Linked DNA regions of Saccharomyces cerevisiae S288C. Changing the gene in region 1 together with any one later gene gives a genetic interaction. Each region holds a gene or a part of one and is shown in the gene's direction. Other genes may lie near its edges.

The links.
Region 2: mutations in KDX1 (region 1) and ATP22 together harm fitness more than expected from each alone (negative genetic interaction), as found in Saccharomyces cerevisiae (one large-scale study listed by BioGRID).
Region 3: of KDX1 (region 1) and MET2, extra expression of one impairs growth in a mutant of the other (dosage growth defect), as found in Saccharomyces cerevisiae (one large-scale study listed by BioGRID).
Region 4: mutations in KDX1 (region 1) and HAL9 together harm fitness more than expected from each alone (negative genetic interaction), as found in Saccharomyces cerevisiae (one large-scale study listed by BioGRID).

Annotation. Positions count from the first base shown.
Region 1 is NC_001143.9:147,702-153,412, reverse strand, and holds KDX1 (putative protein kinase KDX1), read left to right. Parts: upstream 1-2,725; coding exon 2,726-4,027; downstream 4,028-5,711. Other genes in the region: ELF1 (Elf1p), read right to left, coding at 1-144; YKL162C (type II protein arginine methyltransferase), read left to right, coding at 4,575-5,711. UniProt on the Saccharomyces cerevisiae protein: Serine/threonine-protein kinase involved in the SLT2 mitogen-activated (MAP) kinase signaling pathway that regulates cell wall integrity. May also be involved in the mating pheromone and the CWI MAPK pathways.
Region 2 is NC_001136.10:1,174,327-1,180,745, reverse strand, and holds ATP22 (Atp22p), read left to right. Parts: upstream 1-2,571; coding exon 2,572-4,626; downstream 4,627-6,419. Other genes in the region: SBE2 (Sbe2p), read right to left, coding at 1-2,080. UniProt on the Saccharomyces cerevisiae protein: Translation factor specific for subunit 6 of the mitochondrial ATPase. Required for assembly of the CF(0) component of the ATPase.
Region 3 is NC_001146.8:114,827-120,644, forward strand, and holds MET2 (homoserine O-acetyltransferase), read left to right. Parts: upstream 1-2,522; coding exon 2,523-3,983; downstream 3,984-5,818. Other genes in the region: CAF120 (Caf120p), read left to right, coding at 1-1,627; YNL277W-A (uncharacterized protein), read left to right, coding at 1,853-2,041; BOR1 (Bor1p), read left to right, coding at 4,442-5,818. UniProt on the Saccharomyces cerevisiae protein: Commits homoserine to the methionine biosynthesis pathway by catalyzing its O-acetylation.
Region 4 is NC_001147.6:149,898-155,054, reverse strand, and holds HAL9 (Hal9p), read left to right. Parts: upstream 1-1,564; coding exon 1,565-4,657; downstream 4,658-5,157. Other genes in the region: protein disulfide isomerase MPD2, read left to right, coding at 310-1,143; mismatch repair ATPase MSH2, read right to left, coding at 4,779-5,157. UniProt on the Saccharomyces cerevisiae protein: Putative transcription factor involved in halotolerance.

The DNA of each region.
Region 1 (5,711 bases):
CGATAAAGTTCCTATACTATTTTTTTTGTCCAGAGTGCATGAAACTGATTTTTCATGATTACAAAATAAACAATTGAATTTCGTATCTAATTTTTGGACCAGTCTCTTGGTAGGCTTTCTTGTTGACTTCTTTCTTTTACCCATGGCTCGTTAATTGTTTTCAGTGTTTTTTATGACATTCTTCTTCATAATTCTCCCCATCTTTATTACTATTCCTTTTCCAATTATTTGTAGATTATTGCTTTACCAAAGTTTAATCATTTTAAACGTTTTTGTTTCTTCCGTTTTCAGAATTTTTACAATTTGTCACCGAAATAGCAGTTTTTGTTTAATTTTAACGCTATGGGGTAAAAATTTTGGGCCCAATTTCAACTGAAAGAAGAGATATTTTAAATATGATAAGATAATCTTATAACTACGAATTTATTATTTTGTACGTGTCATAATAAATAAGGAAGTGCCTGAAGAGCGTTAAGTAACTTTGGAATCTTCGTTATGAAAACATTGGCTATTTGTTTCAGAAAAAAGCCGTTTAAGTACTTAAAAGAATAGTTATGTTTATATAGGTATGGTGACGAGGCTCTACATAGGACTAATAATGGTGATTTCCCGTCCAGTTTGGTTTACCCTCGTACCATCAAAAGCCTACAAATTCACAGGAAAATCGAAAAAAGATCCTTTCAAAGGTATTTTTCGTCGTGGTTTATTTCCAATGTTGTCATCTTTTTGTCTAACATCTCTCCCACCGATTTTGTCTCACTAACGCGATGATTTTGAATAGGAATGTAGTTTGAACTGTGAAATCATGACAGAATAAGCATGTTACATATAAATATTGGTTACCGTATTTCTTACGCTAGCATACTTCAAGTGTCTTTTGTACTTCTTAAGTTCTTTTGTTTTTGGATAATGATTTAATGCGACACATTGAAAAGGATAATGAATTCTTGCTGGGAACCTCGAACCAAATATTGTGACCTGGAAATGTTGTGTGCAAGACACCGTGAAATCACGCAATAAGACATATCTATACCGTGACAACTCCAAAAAATCCTAAAAACGGCAATTACGTGCAGAAGAATAACGGAAGTTCAGATAGTGGAGAGAAGAATTTATTCTTGTCCCTAAAATGCCCACCAGAGCAGCACTTCTAGTAAGCACATGCATGCTCCACCGCAAATCATCATATTGACGGTATCACACTATAAAAGAATAAAACATGTTGCAAGGCATAATTACTACCGAATTGCAAAAAATTGAACACCAACTTAGCGTGGTTCTATCAGAGAACGACATATCAATTCCTCACAATGAAAAACTAACTGACTAGAATACTTCCACTTTGGTGCCGCATTTGATGAAACAGCAAATAATACCTACACTTAAGTTGAATGAAGATTTCGTTTTCTTTGAGATAGCTCGAGGACATTCACGAAAGAAAAAATTTTAAAGAACAGTTTATAAGCTCTTTTTTAGAATCCTATTCTGTTTACTTCACTGTTCACTTACTTTCGGTCCCACATCTACAAAACATCTACAACAAGAACGTGGGCGATACAGCAAAAAATCACTTGAAATAACAGAATCAAGTTTCTTATCCGATTTCCTACTTTTGAGCTCCGGCTTATGTTGAAGATGTTACTTTTCTTTGTCTCTAAGTGATCTTTATTTTTCTGGCTCCAGTGAAATTTGGTAATAGCATAGTCACTTCAACTAAAGTCTGATAGTAATACTTGCAAATATTGCAAAACTTGGAAGAATGTTAATGAATCATTTCTTGCACCATTCTTTCAATCATCTCAATCTCCTGCTGTGATGTTTAAGTATAACATTGAAGACTATGCCCTAATTTCCAATGTTATTTAGTTTTAAGCATATCTTTGTTTCTAACAGGAAACTCAGGCCCACATCCGCAAAAAAATATGTGCCAAAAAACTTTCAACACTTCAAAGATACTTACCACTGCAGGAAAATAATCTACGTGTAACGGTTTGAAAATAAATTTGACTTCATAATTGGACATAAGTACTCCATCGCCATCCCTTTTTAAAGAAGTTTCCACAAGAATGAATGGCTAATCGCAACTAAATCTTTTCCTTGCAAACGTAACACAGTATCGACATTTTCTTACTCAATCCAACGAAGGAATAACCTATCTAAAAAATAAACGCCGTAGTTTTCAGCCCACAAGACGTCATTAAAAGATTTGTTAATTATAAAAATAGAAATATTTCTACCAGCATGATTATTCGTTACTTGAAAGTCCCCAATAAATTTCACTGTTTCCGTTAACTGTTGTAGTTATTAAACGCAGCAAACAGATTATTTTGAACAACACCGGAGAAACACGCGCAGACCCATTCGAGTTAAAAATAGTAACTCGCGATCAATCAATGCAGGAAGCACCGTAGGAATTAGTAAGAACTCGTATTTTGATTGAAAATGCCATGAAAGCAATTGACTTGCTGCAGTAAAAAGCGCTGCCACAAACTTTGTAATTTTCGACAATGACGTTCTTTTCAGATGGTTACTGTCTTTTTTTGGAAGAAACAAAAGAAGGTACTTTTATGATGTTATACTAGGCAAAAAGCCTATTTAATGTAAGTCCTAATTGTCGTTTGAGACTGGATGAAAAGGGACAAAATGGAAGGATAACTAAAGGTGACTTACCGCCAGATTAATTCGGCCTGGAATAGTTTGATATCGAAGAAAGATTCACAATTAAATGGCGACTGACACCGAGAGGTGTATTTTCCGTGCATTCGGCCAAGATTTTATCCTAAATAAACATTTTCATTTGACAGGTAAGATTGGTCGGGGCTCACACAGCCTTATTTGTTCTTCAACTTACACAGAATCGAACGAGGAAACTCACGTGGCTATCAGAAAAATACCAAACGCGTTTGGCAATAAACTATCTTGCAAGAGAACTCTTCGTGAATTGAAACTACTAAGACATTTAAGAGGGCACCCAAATATAGTGTGGCTCTTCGATACTGATATAGTATTTTACCCAAATGGGGCACTAAATGGCGTTTATTTATATGAAGAACTAATGGAATGTGACCTTTCTCAAATTATAAGGTCCGAACAACGCCTGGAAGACGCACACTTTCAAAGCTTCATATATCAGATACTGTGTGCTCTGAAATACATACATTCTGCTAATGTTTTACATTGTGACCTGAAACCAAAAAACTTACTTGTTAATAGTGATTGCCAACTAAAAATTTGTAATTTTGGGCTATCGTGTAGTTATTCAGAAAACCACAAGGTTAACGACGGCTTCATTAAGGGTTATATAACCTCGATATGGTATAAAGCACCAGAAATTTTGCTGAATTATCAAGAATGCACAAAAGCTGTCGATATTTGGTCAACAGGCTGTATCTTGGCCGAACTACTTGGTAGGAAACCAATGTTTGAAGGGAAGGATTATGTAGATCATTTGAATCATATTCTACAAATACTTGGAACACCACCTGAGGAAACATTGCAGGAAATTGCCTCTCAAAAGGTGTATAATTATATCTTTCAGTTCGGTAATATCCCGGGAAGATCGTTTGAAAGCATACTACCTGGTGCTAATCCAGAAGCGCTTGAATTGCTAAAGAAAATGCTAGAATTTGATCCTAAAAAAAGGATTACTGTAGAGGATGCACTAGAGCATCCATATTTGTCAATGTGGCATGATATAGATGAGGAATTCTCATGTCAAAAGACCTTTAGATTCGAATTCGAGCATATCGAAAGTATGGCGGAATTAGGAAACGAAGTTATAAAGGAAGTATTTGATTTCAGGAAAGTTGTTAGAAAACATCCTATTAGCGGTGATTCCCCATCATCATCACTATCTTTAGAGGATGCCATTCCTCAAGAAGTTGTACAGGTCCATCCTTCTAGGAAAGTTTTACCCAGTTATAGTCCTGAATTTTCCTATGTAAGCCAACTTCCATCACTAACTACAACCCAGCCATATCAAAACCTTATGGGAATAAGCTCTAATTCATTTCAGGGTGTTAACTAAAAGGAAAACACCTTCAAACAAGATACTAAGCATGAAAATAGTGAACTACTGAACGGACCTACTGAGCCAAATATAACAAAAATGAGCCCAGTTTCATCGTCTCCCCCAGGTCACGATATAAATGTCAATGATGGTACAAACCAAAATACAAATGAGGATGACAGCGATTTTTTCTTCGACCTAGAAAAAGAACTTGAATTATTTAGACGATAAATTTTTGTAGCAGAAAACCACAACTAATAGATGCGCACATACACTATCTATAATGAATATGTAAAATGCCTGTTCACCTTCTTAATTATTGGTATATACTTCAAATATTGCAAAAAGAGAAAGTCCTCTCGGCGGTTTTGCAGTTCCTTCCGAAAGCGGGAAAAACCAAAATGTGAGAAAGTAGGATACACCATTGCGTAGATTCGCGATGATCCGAATATAAACATGATTCCCTCGTCAGTCCTCTCTCAAGTTTTCTTTCCCGTTTTAAATAGCTTACTAATATTTTCACAAAAAAGTTGATATCATTTAAAGGTGCTTTTGGCGGGATTGAATGATGAAAAGATTACACCCCTTGAGAATTCAAGTTCATCTGAAATCTGATTACCCACTGTTTACTTTCGAGCAATTACTCTCTACAAATGGGATAAGAAGAGGCCAAACTGCGAGAATTTCTTTGAAAGATTACATAGAGTGGCAAAATTTCCCAAACATAATGAAAAGAGAAAATTTTTTTACGCAAAGGAAGCCTGTAACTACAACCGCAAAAGAAGAACCCTTTTCATTTGATAACATTCTTGACTGTGAGCCACAATTTAGCAAATGCCTTGCCAAATGGCTACTGGTTAATTACAAATTAAATGACTATCCTTATTACGATCTTAACATTGTGAATATTTACACGGATTTACCCCAAGCAATTCAGATTTGCAAAAATTTAATGTCATATCTCAAGTCTACTTTATCTGATAACATGTTCCAGAAAATAAAATATTTCATGGTACCTCTATACAAGTGTGACAAAATACCTTCGAAGCTCTTAGACGGAATACCTGGATCAGTCAGTTTGGTACAAGATTATCCGGTTTCCCCATATTTTTTACAGAAAAAATTTCACATAGAGGATCCAATCCAAATTTTGATGCTTAATGATGTTATAAAATACACAACCCACGATTTAGTAAGGTACTCTTCAGATGACAAAGGGTGGCAACAGTGCTTTGTGGATATCAATAAGAATGGACAAAAATCCAAGAGCTTTGATAGCGCCATTGACTACTCATGTGAACTTGCATTAGAACAAATGTTCAATGATCGATCCCATGTAAGTCCTGGTAAAGAACTTTATATCCCCACTAAATTAATTGAGATATTGATGACAATCAAGAATAATATTCCAGAACATAGACTTTTCATTGTAGACACCCCGCAAAGATCGAGCCCAACAATAATATCGTTATTAAAGAGTTTAATAAGCCCACGGCCGACGGGATCTAGCCAGATAGTACAGCCATATTCGGATTCAATATTTTCAGACAAACGGAGTGGAAGAATATGCTTCATGACGGACTTCTTACAGTTACAGAACATTTATAATGGTATTAACAGTTCTTCTAGTAGCTGCGAAGTCGAAGACGTTGCTGATTTTGTTGAAAAATGGATTAGCCCAAGTGAGAGAAGCACACTTTCG
Region 2 (6,419 bases), on another chromosome or scaffold:
ATGTTTCCTTCAAAGTCCCAAAAGATTGATCAGTTAAAAAATGGTAGAATAGCATCTCATCACCAGTAACCAAACCTTGTTGAGATATAGATTTCAGTTGCAGTAATAGCATCAAGTCAGAAACCACTTGCTTATCTGTTCCATTTTTATAAAAAACCTTTTCCTGTACATCGTGTTCAATAAGCTGTCTTATTTCAAATTCTTTATCTTTGGGAAAATCCATTTTGTTGAGTAGCTGCATTACTTCCTCAAATGATTCAATAAAACATTTTGTTATCAAGCAATTGTCACTTTGTAGAAGTTGACTATATATTTGAAGCCGTACTTTAGATATCAAAGGTGTTTCCCAAATAATTTTCTTTAATTCACTTAATGACGAGTTACGAGTAATGCCTCGGTCCAGTAAATGCTGGAATTTGACCTTATTCTGCTCATTCTTTTTGGCTTTTTCGTCACGTTCTTTATTTTTTTGCAACTCTTCCATTGATGCTAAGTCGATATTTTTGTAGATTTGTTTATCTTGCAATTTCCTCTCTTTGAAATCCTTGGGCGGGAGCCAACTCGGACGGAAATGACTTACGGCCTTTAGTTTGTCCTCTGAAACTAGCATTAGGTCTTCCATTCCCTGACTACTGGCTTCTTTAAATTCCAGTGGTAAACTCTGTACAGATCTTGAACGACCAGAAAGAATACTTTTGGAGATTTTTTCGGAACTATGCAGGTATATTTGGGAGAGATTTTTCATTGTATCCTGGATGTACTGTGAATCAGACACAGGAGATATACCAGGAATGCATGTTGGCGGAAGCTCCTTATAGTCCAGACATGATTCTTTTAAAGTGTTACTTGAATTTGATGTATGTTTTCTAGTACTATGAACCTGATGGAAAGTTTTGTCCACACAGAGAGCCGAAGATGAGTGTTGTTTGCCTTCGCAATTGTTCTCCTGTATTAATATCTCTTCATCCCCCCGCGCTGAATCTAAACTCATTTCTTTTCTATTAAACTTAGATAATGTTAAAAAAGAACTGGTCGATAAAGATGCCATTGGAATGTTCCAAATTAACGAGCCGTCGACATCGCCCTCTTGAAGTTCCAAGTTAACGTCTTGATCTTCATAAAATTTTTCTTTCATTTTTATGGCTTTACGCAAAGATTGGTCATTTTGCTCTTTCCTTAAACGGTAACGTTGAGAAGGAGTAAGTTGGGTTGTTTTATATGGTAATATTACAGAAGTACTATTGGAATGCACATACGGCGTTTTTGTGATCGGCATGAGTTTTGGTTCTTGGATAGTTGCGGTACTCATGCAATGATGTTTAAGAGGAGAGTCATTCTCGCTTATGAATGAAGTTTGTGATGCGGCTATACTGTTGGTTGTATTGCTCGATCCAGGCAGCCCTACTGTCCTGGAGAGTTTAGGAGTTGACACCGAATTTTGACGAGATGGAATGCATGTAGTTATGGTACTCATTGAGCAGATTGTTTTATCAGCGCTACTTGCTGTACGTGTTTTCTGTAGTATTGATCCCGGTCGGCTTTTCTTTAAGGGCGTAATATTGCTTCTATGGTCAGCTTCTCTCATACTTTTGAAGAAGCAGTTATCCTCCATCTTACTGTTTGCTATTTCACCCTCTTCTGAGCTTATATCTGATGTACATAAAGAATCAGATGTCGTATTTGAGTGCGATGAAGAAAATATCTCTGTGCTCGATGTACCTATAGAATCATCTGATATTGGCCTAATGCACTTCGCTGTGGGTACGTGTGGATTATTATTACCTAATACATTTTTAACAACATCTTGGCTAGCGAAATTGAAATCTAGGTTGGAGCTAGGGCGTCTTGTTCCAATATTCTTTCCGTTCGAACCTGTAGTGCTACTGGATGCACTACTGCCTGATCGGGATTTAGACAACGGAAGGCTGCAACTTTTGCGTTCGGTATATTCTGAAAGCATCAACTCCTTTGTGGAAAACTTCTTAGGTTGATTTTGTTTCAGATGCGTTGAGTCCTCCTCCTTTAAAGGGTCTAGCTTAGACGTATTAGGAACTATATTAATCAAACGACGTGCTGTCATACAATAAAATTGAATGTCACAGAAAGCTAAAGAGCTGAAGTAAAATAATGAAGCAAAGGTGGAAGCCCGAAAATAAAGTTAAAATTCAAAGCTTGTAACGAACGTATGAATGAAAGCACTAATTGAGAAAAAACTGAATTTTGTCAAAACAGCTCTATGTTTCAGAATGATAAAAAGGAGAGTTAAAAATACAATGGACAGTGGAATACAGCCAAATGCTCGATAGCTTTCGCAGAAACAGTACAATTAAAGATCAACACTTGTATTCTAATTATAGCAGGATCGATGTTACATCTCTTTTGCTCTCTAATCGGAGCTGAAAAAAAAAAAAAAAAGCGTATATAGTGATCTACGCTGATTAACATTATAGATTGCATAAAAGGGAAAAAGGAATTACATGAAGATCTATTCTGCGCGACACACTTTATTGGCGTACTGGCAAGAATGGGCTTTCAAATCTTCCAAGCGTTCACTTTAATGTTCTTATTGGCATGTTAAAATGTATATGCCGTGTCTATTCCCAGCCTTTGGCTCAAATGGTCACTTCACCGCTGTTTAAACATATGGGTAGCGCAGGGACATACACAATTCTACCTATTACAAATCTGCGCCATTTATCTACGAAAAACTGTCCATTGAAAATTAAATCAAATCGTTCAGAACCTTTGCAGTTTGGCGATTTTGAACGACAGGTGCCATGTTCTAGGAAGAGCGGATCTTCGAAAAATGTTCAGAAGCGTTTATACGAGCTCCGACAATTGAAAACTGTATTAAGTGAGACTTTTGGAGTAACTGAATACGCCTCTTTTTTTGAATCTCTACGAAATGCCCTGCATATAAATAATTGCTCAGAAAATGAAAAGAAGAAACTTTTATATGATATCATTTTGCATCAACACGAGTTATACCCAGAGGTGGCAAGAAAAATTGGATTTTATCTACCAGGTGAGGTCCACAGATGGTTCTGGTATCATATTCCAAAATCAGAATCTTTTAATCACTATCTTTTTCTTTTGAAAAGTGATGTTCTTCTCTTTACTTCTAACTACTGTACGAGATTTACCAATAGGCTGATAAAAGGAACTGAGATGGAGAGGCAGTTAGCCACGTTCCAAATATTTTTGCATGATGAGACAAACATAAAATTTATAATGGAAAAAGTTCTGAAGTTGCATACATTTGACAGCTTAATCGCTCTAGTAAATGGCCTTGTTAAGGCGAAAAATTTTAGGTTCATTAAAGTATTTATTCAAGCTCTACTACAGAAGTTGGAACAGCACTGTTATTCTGGTAAAGATGGAGCAAAGCAAAAGAACCTGCGTTATGTCAAGTTCAACAATACCTTACTTTATTACCTTTTGAAAAGTGGAAATGTTGAGTTATTCATCAAAACCTTTCAAGAGGAACTGAAATTCATTGTAAGCTCAGGATTGCTTAATCACATTGATGGAAACGAACACATATTGAATTTTCCCATTCACCACTACTTGAATCTGCTCCGAATATCTAATAGGCAGGAGGAGCTTTTCAATGTAATTTCCTGCTTACAAAGCAGCCCACTGATGAAATATAAATTGTTCAAGGAGTTTTTAATGGGTGAATTAATTGCATCTTTTCAAGCCTTTCGTGACCCGAAATTGGTGTGTAAATATCTCCTCTCATCATACAGCTCAAAGGCGTCTGCTAATATTCTGAATGCCCTAGGGATTTGGGGGTGGCTCTATCATTCAAAATCAACGACTTTGACAGCTCCTACGTTAGCAAGAGAGCTGAAGAACAAAAATAATATTCTACCGAACACAATGCGAATAGGATCACCAGTGACTGTTCCAATTTTAACTGAACTGTATAGAAGCCTTTTATCTTCGAGTTCTGTTTCACTGGAAAGTGGTCAATTCAAGAATTGTCTTCTTGATTTATATTACAAGTACAAGAGTTTTCTTTCCGAGGAAGCTCATAAATACAGGTATTGGAGAAATGATACCGGAATCCTCAATGTTTTCCTAAATTATATTAGATTCCAAGCTCGTGAACCAAGGCTGGCCTACAATGTTCTTCTGGATTTTTATTCTCAACCTTTCGCCAAAAAAGTGGTTTTAACTACCACGCTATGTCCCTTTTCCATAGTAGCCTATAAAAATCATACATTAACGCAGGCTGAACTATCAGAATTGCTACAGGTGATGCATAAAAATGGGGTGCCTTTAACGTTTAAATTTTGTTCTGCAATGGTAATGCATTATGTCAAAATGAGAGACGAAAAAGGAGCACGCTCCTGGTACAATAAGATACTCTTCGGGGGCTTTGAAATCAGGCATATGGCTTTGATACAGATAATAAAAGACCAAGGCTGGCCGTTTCCCAAAAACTTTGACGAAACTTTACTGACGGAATTGGTGGAAAATAATAACATTAAAGAACCTACTGATAGCACCCTGTTTACTGACGAAGATATGTTCGAAGAAGATGGCAAGCCTAGATTTAATGATGATGATGTTAATAAATGTACAAATATTATAAGAGAGACGTTGAAAAGTCTAAATTAATATCCAGATGAGCACTAGTAAATAGTAAATATTCATTCATAGATAGTAATTTACCCATAAGTTATTAATACCTACAAAGTTTTTTCATAAGTTTATGAATATGTCTTCTTGGCCCATGGTTACTTTATTACCTCTAATACCTTATTTACTTTCTCAAATAAATGAGCCCTTGGATTTCATTTACTGAGAATAAAAAAAAGTACCGTGCTCGGCAAAAATGCTCCAGGGGAGGTTCGAACTCTCGACCTTCAGATTATGAGACTGACGCTCTTCCTACTGAGCTACTGAAGCTTTGTTTTGTACAGACGTTACATCTCAGAATGGGATACGTCAGCATGACAATACATTATCCTGAACGTTCATAGAACACATATGAAACCTAAGAAAACGAACAGATTGAGCAACATGAGGTAAAACTCCGCCTTCTATAGCTGGGCTATCTAAACGTATAAATGCCTGAACAATTGGTTTATGAGAAATGGGTGTATTTTGAGAGACTTGTTGGGATTCCATTGTTGATAAAGGCTATAATATTAGGTGTACAGAATATACTAGAAGTTCTCCTCGATGATATTGGAATCCTCTAAATGGAATCTATATTTCTACATACTAATATTACGATTATTCCTCATTCCGTTTTATATGTTTCATTATCCTATTACATTATCAATCCTTGCACTTCAGCTTCCTCTAACTTCGATGACAGCTTCTCATAACTTATGTCATCATCTTAACACCGTATATGATAATATATTGATAGTACAACTATTAGTTGATAGACGATAGTGGATTCTTATTCCAACAGTTTAGATCCAAGGTTCCGCGCTTCCACCATTTAGTATGATCCATATTTTATATAATATATAGGATAAGTAACATTCCGTGAATTAATCTGATAAACCGTTTTGACAACTGGTTACTTCCCTAAGACTGTTTATATTAGGATTGTCGAGACACTCCGGTATTACTTGAGCCCGTAGTACAGCGCAGGCCTCCAGAGTTGAATTATTCTAAATTCCTGAATAATAACAATTTTGCAGACAAAATTCAGGCAATAACTCAAAAGAGTAATCTTTCACTGCATTTAAGGCGCTAAGATTCCCGCCAAAAGTAGTCGTCACAAAAGAACGTATATAAAATGCACTTTCGAGCGGTGACAATGTGAGAAATAGGTAAATATTGAGACAATTGTTGGGATTACCCTGTTTCTCATCTTTTATGTCATCTTTTTACACCGTATATGATAATATGCTAGTCGATAGATGGTGGTCGATTCTTCTTCCTGTATACAAATATATGAGTTGGGGATGTATATTGCAAAGAGCTTGATTATGACACATTGCCAGACCAAAAAACAAATCTCTTTCTATAATGTTCCCAGGTGGGCTAATTTTTTAAATAACGACGGCAGTATATTGATATTGGAGAGAGTTGTATTTATTGTTCGATATTTATTTTGATATCAGCTTTATATTGTAAGTGTTCAATATTTTAATTAGTGTGTATTTTGTAACTTTACTGCCAATTATCAACATAATTACAAAATTGTTATAAAAATTGATGCACTAGTGTTTCGGTTCTTGCTCTTTTAACCAACCGAGCCTAAAAAAGAGGCTCTTGAAAGTAATTTAACCCAAACAATGAGATCTTCATTCTTTTTTTTTTTACCTCAGCTATGACTTGCAGTGCTTTGTATCATACCGCTCGTTTGGTCGTGCTATTTGCAACAATGAACCTCGTTACCCCGAACAAAAAAAAATGAGATATTGAACGCCGCAGCTCATCATGGTAGA
Region 3 (5,818 bases), on another chromosome or scaffold:
ACACAAAGTCCACACACCTACTGATGCATCCTTCAGAACAAGAGTGACAGAAGGTTCACCTTATGCGAAGCAAAGACATCCCAAGCCGTTTGCGTCATCTGTAAACGATTCACCATCAGACAGAGCCAAGTCGAGGACAGTTCCTTACAATAATAACGACAGGAAAGCGACCACTCCTGAGAAATTTGAAAGAGGAGAAACCTCTTGTGGTAAGAACGTGGACGAAAGTTTGGAAAAGGTCCGGAATATGAAGTTAGAAATTCCCGAGTCCAATTTTGACAAGTTCATGACAGACAAAAATCTGTTGTCTGTGGATTCTAAATGCTCTAATGAGAAGAAGCTCTCTGTGGAATCAGATTTGTCTGCAATCTACGAAAAATACTCCAATGGTCCCTTTGGTCACACTGAGGGTCTTAACGGATCTTCTGATGAAACTTACCTTCGTTTTCAACGGGCGTCAGTTCATTCAGAGAGCAACTACAATTCAAGAAAATCCTTTACACCAAGTGACTTTTCTAATGGCAATGAGGAAGAACATGCCGTTTTACAAGAATTAAATAGTTTAACCCAAAGAATTAATGAACTAGGCATGGAAAGTATAAATTCAAACTCCGATTCGGACAGAATAAACGGGTCATATTCACAAGTGGATTTTGGTAACAATAACGACGAGGACGATATGAACCTGTTCGACCCAGATTTTATGGCACAAGACCAATTGCGTGCTGAAGAAAGAGACTACAACAAGGATGATAGAACACCCTTAGCTAAGGTCCCTGCGGCCTTTCAATCAACTGGATTGGGCATAACCCCCGATGACGATATCGAGAGACAATACATAACGGAACACAGATCACGACATGAAGTGCCAAAGCGGTCTCCCGAGAAACCCTCCAACCCGCTGGAAATAGGTAACCCATACGCGAAACCTGGCACAAGGTTGAATACCACTCACACCCACAGCAAAACTGATCGTAGCATTACCCCTCAGAGGGGCCAGCCAGTCCCATCAGGCCAGCAGATTTCCTCCTACGTGCAGCCAGCAAACATTAATAGTCCTAACAAAATGTATGGTGCAAACAACTCGGCAATGGGTTCGCCCAGGAATCCAAAGACGAGAGCGCCACCAGGTCCATACAATCAGGGATGGAATAACCGCCCCTCGCCTTCAAATATTTACCAACGTCCTCATCCCTCAGATACACAACCACAAGCATATCATCTCCCCGGAAACCCATACTCAACGGGGAACAGGCCAAACATGCAAGCGCAATATCACCCGCAGCAGGTGCCCATGCCTATCCTGCAGCAGCCCAATCGCCCGTACCAACCTTATGCGATGAATACGCACATGGGCTCTCCTGGCGGATATGCTGGGGCAGCACCACCATTTCAGCCAGCTAACGTCAACTACAATACTAGGCCTCAGCAGCCATGGCCTACACCTAACTCACCATCCGCACACTACCGTCCGCCCCCTAACCTGAACCAGCCTCAAAACGGTAGTGCTGGTTACTATCGTCCGCCGGCACCACAATTGCAAAACTCCCAAGCCCGTCCACAAAAGAAGGACGGATTCTCACAGTTCATGCCATCTGCAACTACGAAGAACCCATATGCCCAGTAACTCGACCGACTGGTTGTAATTTTACAAAAAGAGAGACAATTAAGAAAAGAAACAAGCGCCAGGCTTCCGTATCCCAGTTTTTCATCTCACTTTCTGGGCACGATTGTAATAATACTTCATGATAATAACTAAACTATATAAGTAGTGTCTCATCCGTAAATATACATTTAGACAGATTCTTGTATTTTCTCCGGGCAATTTTTAACTTTTTTTCTGTTAGGGCACATGACACTTGCCTATTATGGACAGCCAGTAAAGATGTGCCATATATTGCCCCCTTTACGCTCTCTGCCAGTATTAGTGGGAAAAAAAAAACTGAAAAAAAAAAAATCGCAGACTACTAATAATCACGTGATATTTCTTTTCACTCTCTTCATAAAGTTGCTAAAAACACACAATCGAATGAGCCTCTGAGCAGTATAAATTGTACTTCAAAGCACTAGTCATGAAAAACGCTTACATTAGTTCAGTTTGTCAAGGTTATGCTATTACTTGTACTTATTTCTTGCTATTGTTAGTGGCTCCCCACATTGACGTATTTTCACGTGATGCGCCTCACTGCGGAAGGCGCCACACATTGCCTGCAAAAAATTGTGGATGCACTCATTTGATAGTAAACTAAGTCATGTTAATCGTTTGGATTTGGCACACACCCACAAATATACACATTACATATATATATATATTCAAAATACAGCTGCGTCCAATAGATGAGCTTCCGCTTCGTTGTACAACCTACCTGCTATCTTGTTCACGGATATTTCTTGCTTTTAATAAACAAAAGTAACTCTAGAACAGTCAAGTCTTCGATAATTTTTTTAGTCACAGGGTCCGTCTAAAGTTTCTCTTTATTTGGAATAATAGAAAAGAAAGAAAAAAACGTAGTATAAAAGGAATGTCGCATACTTTAAAATCGAAAACGCTCCAAGAGCTGGACATTGAGGAGATTAAGGAAACTAACCCATTGCTCAAACTAGTTCAAGGGCAGAGGATTGTTCAAGTTCCGGAACTAGTGCTTGAGTCTGGCGTGGTCATAAATAATTTCCCTATTGCTTATAAGACGTGGGGTACACTGAATGAAGCTGGTGATAATGTTCTGGTAATTTGTCATGCCTTGACTGGGTCCGCAGATGTTGCTGACTGGTGGGGCCCTCTTCTGGGTAACGACTTAGCATTCGACCCATCAAGGTTTTTTATCATATGTTTAAACTCTATGGGCTCTCCATATGGGTCTTTTTCGCCATTAACGATAAATGAGGAGACGGGCGTTAGATATGGACCCGAATTCCCATTATGTACTGTGCGCGATGACGTTAGAGCTCACAGAATTGTTCTGGATTCTCTGGGAGTAAAGTCAATAGCCTGTGTTATTGGTGGCTCTATGGGGGGGATGCTGAGTTTGGAATGGGCTGCCATGTATGGTAAGGAATATGTGAAGAATATGGTTGCTCTGGCGACATCAGCAAGACATTCTGCCTGGTGCATATCGTGGTCTGAGGCTCAAAGACAATCGATTTACTCAGATCCCAACTACTTGGACGGGTACTATCCGGTAGAGGAGCAACCTGTGGCCGGACTATCGGCTGCACGTATGTCTGCATTGTTGACGTACAGGACAAGAAACAGTTTCGAGAACAAATTCTCCAGAAGATCTCCTTCAATAGCACAACAACAAAAAGCTCAAAGGGAGGAGACACGCAAACCATCTACTGTCAGCGAACACTCCCTACAAATCCACAATGATGGGTATAAAACAAAAGCCAGCACTGCCATCGCTGGCATTTCTGGGCAAAAAGGTCAAAGCGTGGTGTCCACCGCATCTTCTTCGGATTCATTGAATTCTTCAACATCGATGACTTCGGTAAGTTCTGTAACGGGTGAAGTGAAGGACATAAAGCCTGCGCAGACGTATTTTTCTGCACAAAGTTACTTGAGGTACCAGGGCACAAAGTTCATCAATAGGTTCGACGCCAATTGTTACATTGCCATCACACGTAAACTGGATACGCACGATTTGGCAAGAGACAGAGTAGATGACATCACTGAGGTCCTTTCTACCATCCAACAACCATCCCTGATCATCGGTATCCAATCTGATGGACTGTTCACATATTCAGAACAAGAATTTTTGGCTGAGCACATACCGAAGTCGCAATTAGAAAAAATTGAATCTCCCGAAGGCCACGATGCCTTCCTATTGGAGTTTAAGCTGATAAACAAACTGATAGTACAATTTTTAAAAACCAACTGCAAGGCCATTACCGATGCCGCTCCAAGAGCTTGGGGAGGTGACGTTGGTAACGATGAAACGAAGACGTCTGTCTTTGGTGAGGCCGAAGAAGTTACCAACTGGTAGGGATAGATACCACACATACCTCAGGCATAACATAGATAAACCAGTACATGTATATCTATATCTATATTTATATATAGACAAACAGCATTAATTAACTATAACAAAGTTTCTAGTAACACTAACGGTAGTAGTAGATTTCTCTTTTTTGTCCTCGTTGTTAAAAAACGAAAGAAGAATGAAAAAAAAAAAAAAAAACAGAAGAGTAATAGCTAGTGCTTTAGAGCTTTCCACATTTTGACCGCACTTGTAGACAGCCACTCTTGCGTTGCCACTCGACATTACATGAACAACTGTTCTTCTCCCTGTAGCCTTAGCTTACTTCAAACTTTTTTCGTTTAGCGGGGAAAATACATCACTGAAGTAATTTTTAGATCACTCGTGGCGTAAAAGTAAGCATATCGCAATAATCATACTCATATCCTTTATCATCCAAAAAGTAGTAATAGCGCTGGCAAGGCATGTCGAATGAGAGCACACGAGTTACCGTTAGTCGCGGTTGTACAGCCTCCGACGAGTGTGCGCAAGCATTGGAACGGACAAACGATGAGCTAGACAGAGAATCATCGGTATCAGAAAGTAGAAGTGATGAAGAGAGCCACGAGAAGTTATCCCGACGTCGATTCCCGACGCTAGGTATAGGCATATGGCTCGATTTGAAGGACAGAATACCGTATTACAAGTCAGATTGGGTAGATGCGTTTAATTACAGAGTTATTCCCTCTATTGTTGACACCTACTTTAATAACCTGCTACCTGCAATAGCCTTTGCGCAAGATATGTTTGATAGGACTGATAATTCCTATGGTGTGAACGAAGTACTTCTATCCAGTGCAATGGCTGGAATTGTTTTTGGAGTTCTTGGTGGACAGCCCTTATGTATAGTGGGTGTTACTGGCCCCATCTCTATTTTTAATTATACGGTCTACGAAATTATAAAGCCTTTGAATACCAGCTATTTTGGCTTCATGTTTTGGATTTGTATGTGGTCTATGATTTTTCATTTAGTTTTAGCATTTACGAACGCCGTTTGCCTCTTGCAATACGTGACTACGTTCCCATGTGACATATTTGGATTATTTATTAATGTGGTCTACATTCAAAAAGGAATACAAATTTTAACAAGACAGTTCAGTGCTAAATCAGGGGAGAAATCAGTACAAGACGGATTTGCTAGTGTCGTGGTGGCGCTGGTTATGACTGCGTTTGGTCTTTTCTTTAAATTATTTCATTATTACCCCCTCTTTTCTCATAGGATCAGAACATTCATATCTGATTATTCAACTGCGCTTTCAGTGCTATTCTGGTCATCATTTACACATTTTGGTGGCTACTTGCATGATGTCAAATTTAAAAAATTGCCTATTACGAAAGCTTTTTTTCCTACTTCCAAAGTCAATAGGCCTCAAAATACTTGGCTGGCATATGAACCGATTCCTGTTAAAGACGTCTTTATTGCCCTACCATTTGGTATATTTTTAACAATCTTGTTTTACTTTGATCATAACGTATCGTCGCTAATGGCACAAAGGCATCAGTATAAGCTGAAAAAACCATCCTCTTTTCATTACGATTTCGCACTATTGGGACTTACCACTTGCATCAGCGGGGTTCTAGGAATCCCGGCGCCCAATGGTTTGATTCCTCAAGCACCATTGCACACAGAGACACTGCTAGTTAGGGATTCAAACCAAAAGGTTATCAGTTGCGTAGAGCAAAGATTTACAAATACGTTTCAGGGCCTGATGATTCTAGGGACAATGACAAGACCGTTATTGGTATGCTTAGGAGAAATCCCTCAGGCAGTACTTTCCGGATTGTTTTTCATTATGGGCATC
Region 4 (5,157 bases), on another chromosome or scaffold:
AGACATTTTTATAATATTATTTATTTATCAAATTTTATATTGAATAGGTACCATCAAGTTATGCACACATTCTTCATTAAAATACAGTCTGTAAATAATTGTGAATATGGGCGACCTGAATGATGTTCTTATTATCTCAAATATTTCTAATTTTTTTTAATCATTTTTGTTTCTTTAAGAGCAATTAATTTACAGAGCGGGGAACAGTGGCCAATTTTTTGAGCTAAAGAACAGCATAACAACAAAACAACAGAAAAAAAACACAGCGAGTCTAGTGCAAGTACGTCGGCAAAGTAAAACACAAAGGAGATGAAATTGCACGGCTTTTTATTTTCCGTATTATCAACATGCGTCGTCATTTTACCAGCGTTGGCCTACAGTGAAGCTGTCACGATGGTCAAGTCGATTGAGCAGTACTTCGATATCTGCAATAGGAATGATTCTTACACAATGATAAAATACTACACTTCTTGGTGCCAACATTGTAAAACTCTGGCCCCAGTATACGAAGAGCTTGGTGAGCTATACGCCAAAAAAGCTAATAAAGATGATACCCCAATTAACTTCCTTGAAGTTAACTGTGAATTCTTCGGGCCAACTTTATGTACCGACTTGCCTGGATTTCCAATAATTGAACTGGTCAAACCTCGTACTAAGCCCTTAGTTCTTCCGAAGCTCGATTGGTCGTCTATGAAATTTCATGAAAGACTATGGCAAAGAATCAAGACGTGGTTCAACAATCCTAAGTACCAACTGGATACGTCTAGGGTTGTTCGTTTTGAAGGGAGTAGGAACCTAAAGAGTTTAAGCAACTTTATCGATACTGTAAGAAGTAAAGATACAGAAGAAAGATTCATAGAACATATTTTCGATGATTCTAGGAATTGCAATGAAGAATTACGTTCTCAACAGCTTCTGTGTAAAGCTGGTAAAGAATACTACTCTGATACTTTATCTAAATTATACGGTGACGTGAATGGGCTGGAAAAGGAAAGGCGAAGACTAGAAGCTTTAATTAAGCAAAATGGAGATGACTTGAGTAAAGAAGTTAAAGAAAAACTGAAAATCATTCGTCTACAATTGAGCCTATTATCACACATAGAAGACCAGTTAGAAGATACCAGTAGTCATGACGAGCTTTGAACATAAGCTTCGCTCTGTCTTTTACTTTACGAATACCGACTACAGACGGAAGCGGGACCCTCACCCTGAGGTACAACAAATACACAGATACATATATATTTAACAATGTACGTTAGCCGCAATATAAGTGAGATTGTGTAGGTGAAAGATTATGGAGATATACATAAATATTACAGAAGGTCTACCACATGTGTTTTGAATATTGGCTTGTGCTAAGGTAACACTGTTATTTTATTCATTAGAGAAACATCTCTTACCCTGTTTGGTTTTGGTATAATCTCCAATTACGTACATGAAAGATGGCTTTATATAAAAAGCCTTTAATTCGAAAAAAGAATAAATGTCTTAGGGAGCTTATTATCGTACTTTAATTCAACTTAGGAAATCAGCACTCTCCACTCCAAATCTTCGGTTTGAAATAATGGAAAATCAAGGTGGAGATTACAGCCCAAATGGGTTTTCAAACTCAGCAAGCAATATGAATGCGGTTTTTAACAATGAAATCACCGGTAGAAGTGACATTTCAAATGTAAACCATCAAACTGGTACCCCACGTCTGGTTCCTGAAACTCAAATATGGTCGATGCCTGTGCCAGATCAACTGATGACGATGCCTAACAGAGAAAACACCCTTATGACAGGTAGTACAATAGGTCCAAATATCCCCATGAATGTGGCTTATCCCAATACAATATACTCGCCAACAGAGCATCAGTCGCAATTTCAGACACAACAGAACCGTGACATCAGCACGATGATGGAACACACTAACAGTAATGATATGAGCGGCTCTGGTAAAAATCTCAAGAAACGTGTATCAAAGGCCTGTGACCATTGCCGAAAAAGAAAAATCAGATGTGATGAAGTGGACCAGCAGACCAAAAAATGTTCAAACTGTATTAAGTTTCAGTTGCCTTGCACTTTCAAACATCGTGATGAGATTCTTAAGAAGAAAAGAAAATTAGAAATCAAACATCATGCAACACCAGGGGAATCACTTCAAACCTCAAATAGTATTAGCAATCCTGTAGCGTCTTCTTCAGTACCGAACAGTGGAAGGTTTGAACTTTTAAACGGTAATTCCCCCTTAGAAAGCAATATCATCGATAAAGTCTCCAATATTCAAAATAATCTTAACAAAAAAATGAATTCAAAGATTGAAAAATTGGATAGAAAAATGTCTTACATTATTGACAGTGTGGCTAGACTTGAGTGGTTATTGGACAAGGCTGTTAAAAAGCAGGAAGGCAAATACAAGGAAAAGAACAATTTGCCCAAACCAGCGAGAAAAATATACTCTACGGCACTTTTAACTGCTCAAAAACTCTATTGGTTCAAACAAAGTTTAGGAGTGAAAGCGTCCAATGAGGAGTTTCTTTCTCCAATCAGCGAAATATTAAGCATATCTTTAAAATGGTATGCAACTCAAATGAAAAAATTTATGGATTTGTCATCTCCGGCTTTCTTCTCCAGCGAAATAATATTATACTCATTACCTCCGAAAAAGCAAGCAAAGAGACTTCTTGAGAATTTTCATGCTACCTTATTATCCTCTGTAACTGGTATAATATCGTTAAAAGAATGTCTAGACTTAGCAGAAAAGTACTACAGCGAAAGCGGCGAAAAACTCACATATCCTGAACATTTATTATTAAACGTGTGTCTCTGCTCGGGTGCATCTGCCACTCAATCAATTATAAGAGGTGATTCAAAGTTTCTAAGGAAAGATAGATATGATCCAACCTCCCAAGAGTTAAAAAAAATCGAAAACGTTGCCTTACTAAATGCCATGTATTATTATCATAAGCTGTCCACCATCTGTTCAGGTACAAGAACACTACAAGCTTTATTACTACTGAACCGATATTTTCAACTTACCTACGATACTGAACTAGCAAATTGTATTTTAGGAACCGCGATTAGATTGGCGGTTGACATGGAATTAAATAGAAAATCCTCTTACAAGTCACTAGACTTTGAAGAAGCCATAAGGAGAAGAAGAATGTGGTGGCATTGTTTTTGTACAGATAAACTATATTCTTTAATGTTATCCAGACCCCCTATTGTGGGGGAACGCGATATGGATATGCTAACAGATCAAAATTATTATGAAGTGATAAAAACTAATATTCTACCTGATCTTATTGATAAAAAGGAAGATCTCGATAAAATTACTGATGTCAACTCTGCATTGAATGTAGTTGTAAATTTTTGTCAGCACATATCCCTTTTCATATCATATTATGTTTCAAAATTGGTTAGTATTGAGAGTAAAATATACTCTACTTGTTTTGCTGTCAGAAGTACTCTAGATCTTTCATTCGATGCCATGCTTGATAAAATCAAAGATCTCAATGATTCTTTGAACAATTGGAGAGACAACTTGCACGTAAGTATGAAACTAAAAAGTTATAAACAGTATTTATCGGTACTTTACGCTCAAAAATCCCAAGAAAATCCGGCTTTAAGTTTTGAGATTGCATGCTCTCGTGTTTTGAATTGTCATTTTAGGGCGCTATATTCTAAAGTGATTTTGAGCATGATGACTACATCCTTATTGATTGATAACGAACGCCTATACAAAGGTTCTCGCCATGATATTCCTCAGCTATTCATTCTTTTTTCAAGTCAATACTTAAACGCCAGTAAAGAAATGTTACAGCTGTTTCAAGGCATCAATTACCAGGCGCATATGTATAACGAGGTTATGTATCAGTTCTCTACTGCTATGTTTGTTCTCTTCTTTTACGTTGTGGATAATATGAACGATCTAAAAAAGAAAGGTGAGGTAAAAGAGATCATCGATATCCTAAAAAAATCTTATGATCGATTAGTGGGAGAAAATGATGAGCAGTTACTGTTTGACAATGTCAAATGGAACACTTTGATTGTGTTCTACAGCCACTTTTTGAAATACGTTTTGCAACGTTATCATGCTTTGAACGATTCTACGTCAATATTTGATTCTAAACCTTATGATGAAACGATAACGAAAGTTATTATGCATTCAAGAAAGATAAAAGATGAAACAGTCGATCAACTAATTATGAGTCTAAAATCATATGGTTCTCTCCATTCTTTACAAAAGGGCAACGAAGCCGATCTCGCCGATGATGGACTGAATACGAATGATATTTCTTCAGAAGACTTTGCGGAGGAAGCACCAATAAACTTATTTGGAGAGTTATCAGTCGAAATTTTAAAACTATTAAAATCTCACTCCCCCATCTCAAATTTTGGAGACCTATCGCCATCTTCAAATAGGAAAGGAATATCTGATGACTCATCTTTGTACCCAATTCGTTCGGACCTAACATCTCTTGTTTATCCCATCCATAGTTCTGATACCGGAGATACTCTTTCCAGTGGTCTAGAGACCCCTGAAAATTCTAATTTTAATAGTGACAGTGGAATAAAGGAAGATTTCGAAGCTTTTAGAGCCTTATTGCCTTTAGGAAAATTGATCTATGACAGAGATTATTCTTTCGTGAACACTTTTAGGGATTATGAATAAACTGTACCTTGTCTACAAAGATTGTAAAAAATAAAAATTCTTTCCCAATGCATATTATATGTACTATTTGTATCTATATATTATCTATCGATTCTCACTTAAGATGTCGTTGTAATATTAATTATAACAACAAGGCTTTTATATATTTCAGGTAATTATCGTTTTCCTTTTCTGGTTCATTTGCTATAGCACGCAATAGCTCTTGTATTTTATGCTGGGAAGCTTCTTCAGTAATTTTGCTTGGGTCATGTAAACCCTCCTCCTTCACTTTTCTAATCCACTCTTTCAGTAAAGCCTTCAAACGAATATTACCTTCGTTAACTTCCTGTAATGATAGCTTAGCTTTTTTCAAATCTTCATTATTAGTTTTTAGATCGTCCAATTCATTGGCTTTACGTTTAGCCATTTTAACAATTTTTTCTGGAAATTGAACAACTTCTGCAACATGAATACCAAAAGACTGATCTGAAATACCAGGCTCAACTTTGTATAACAACGTG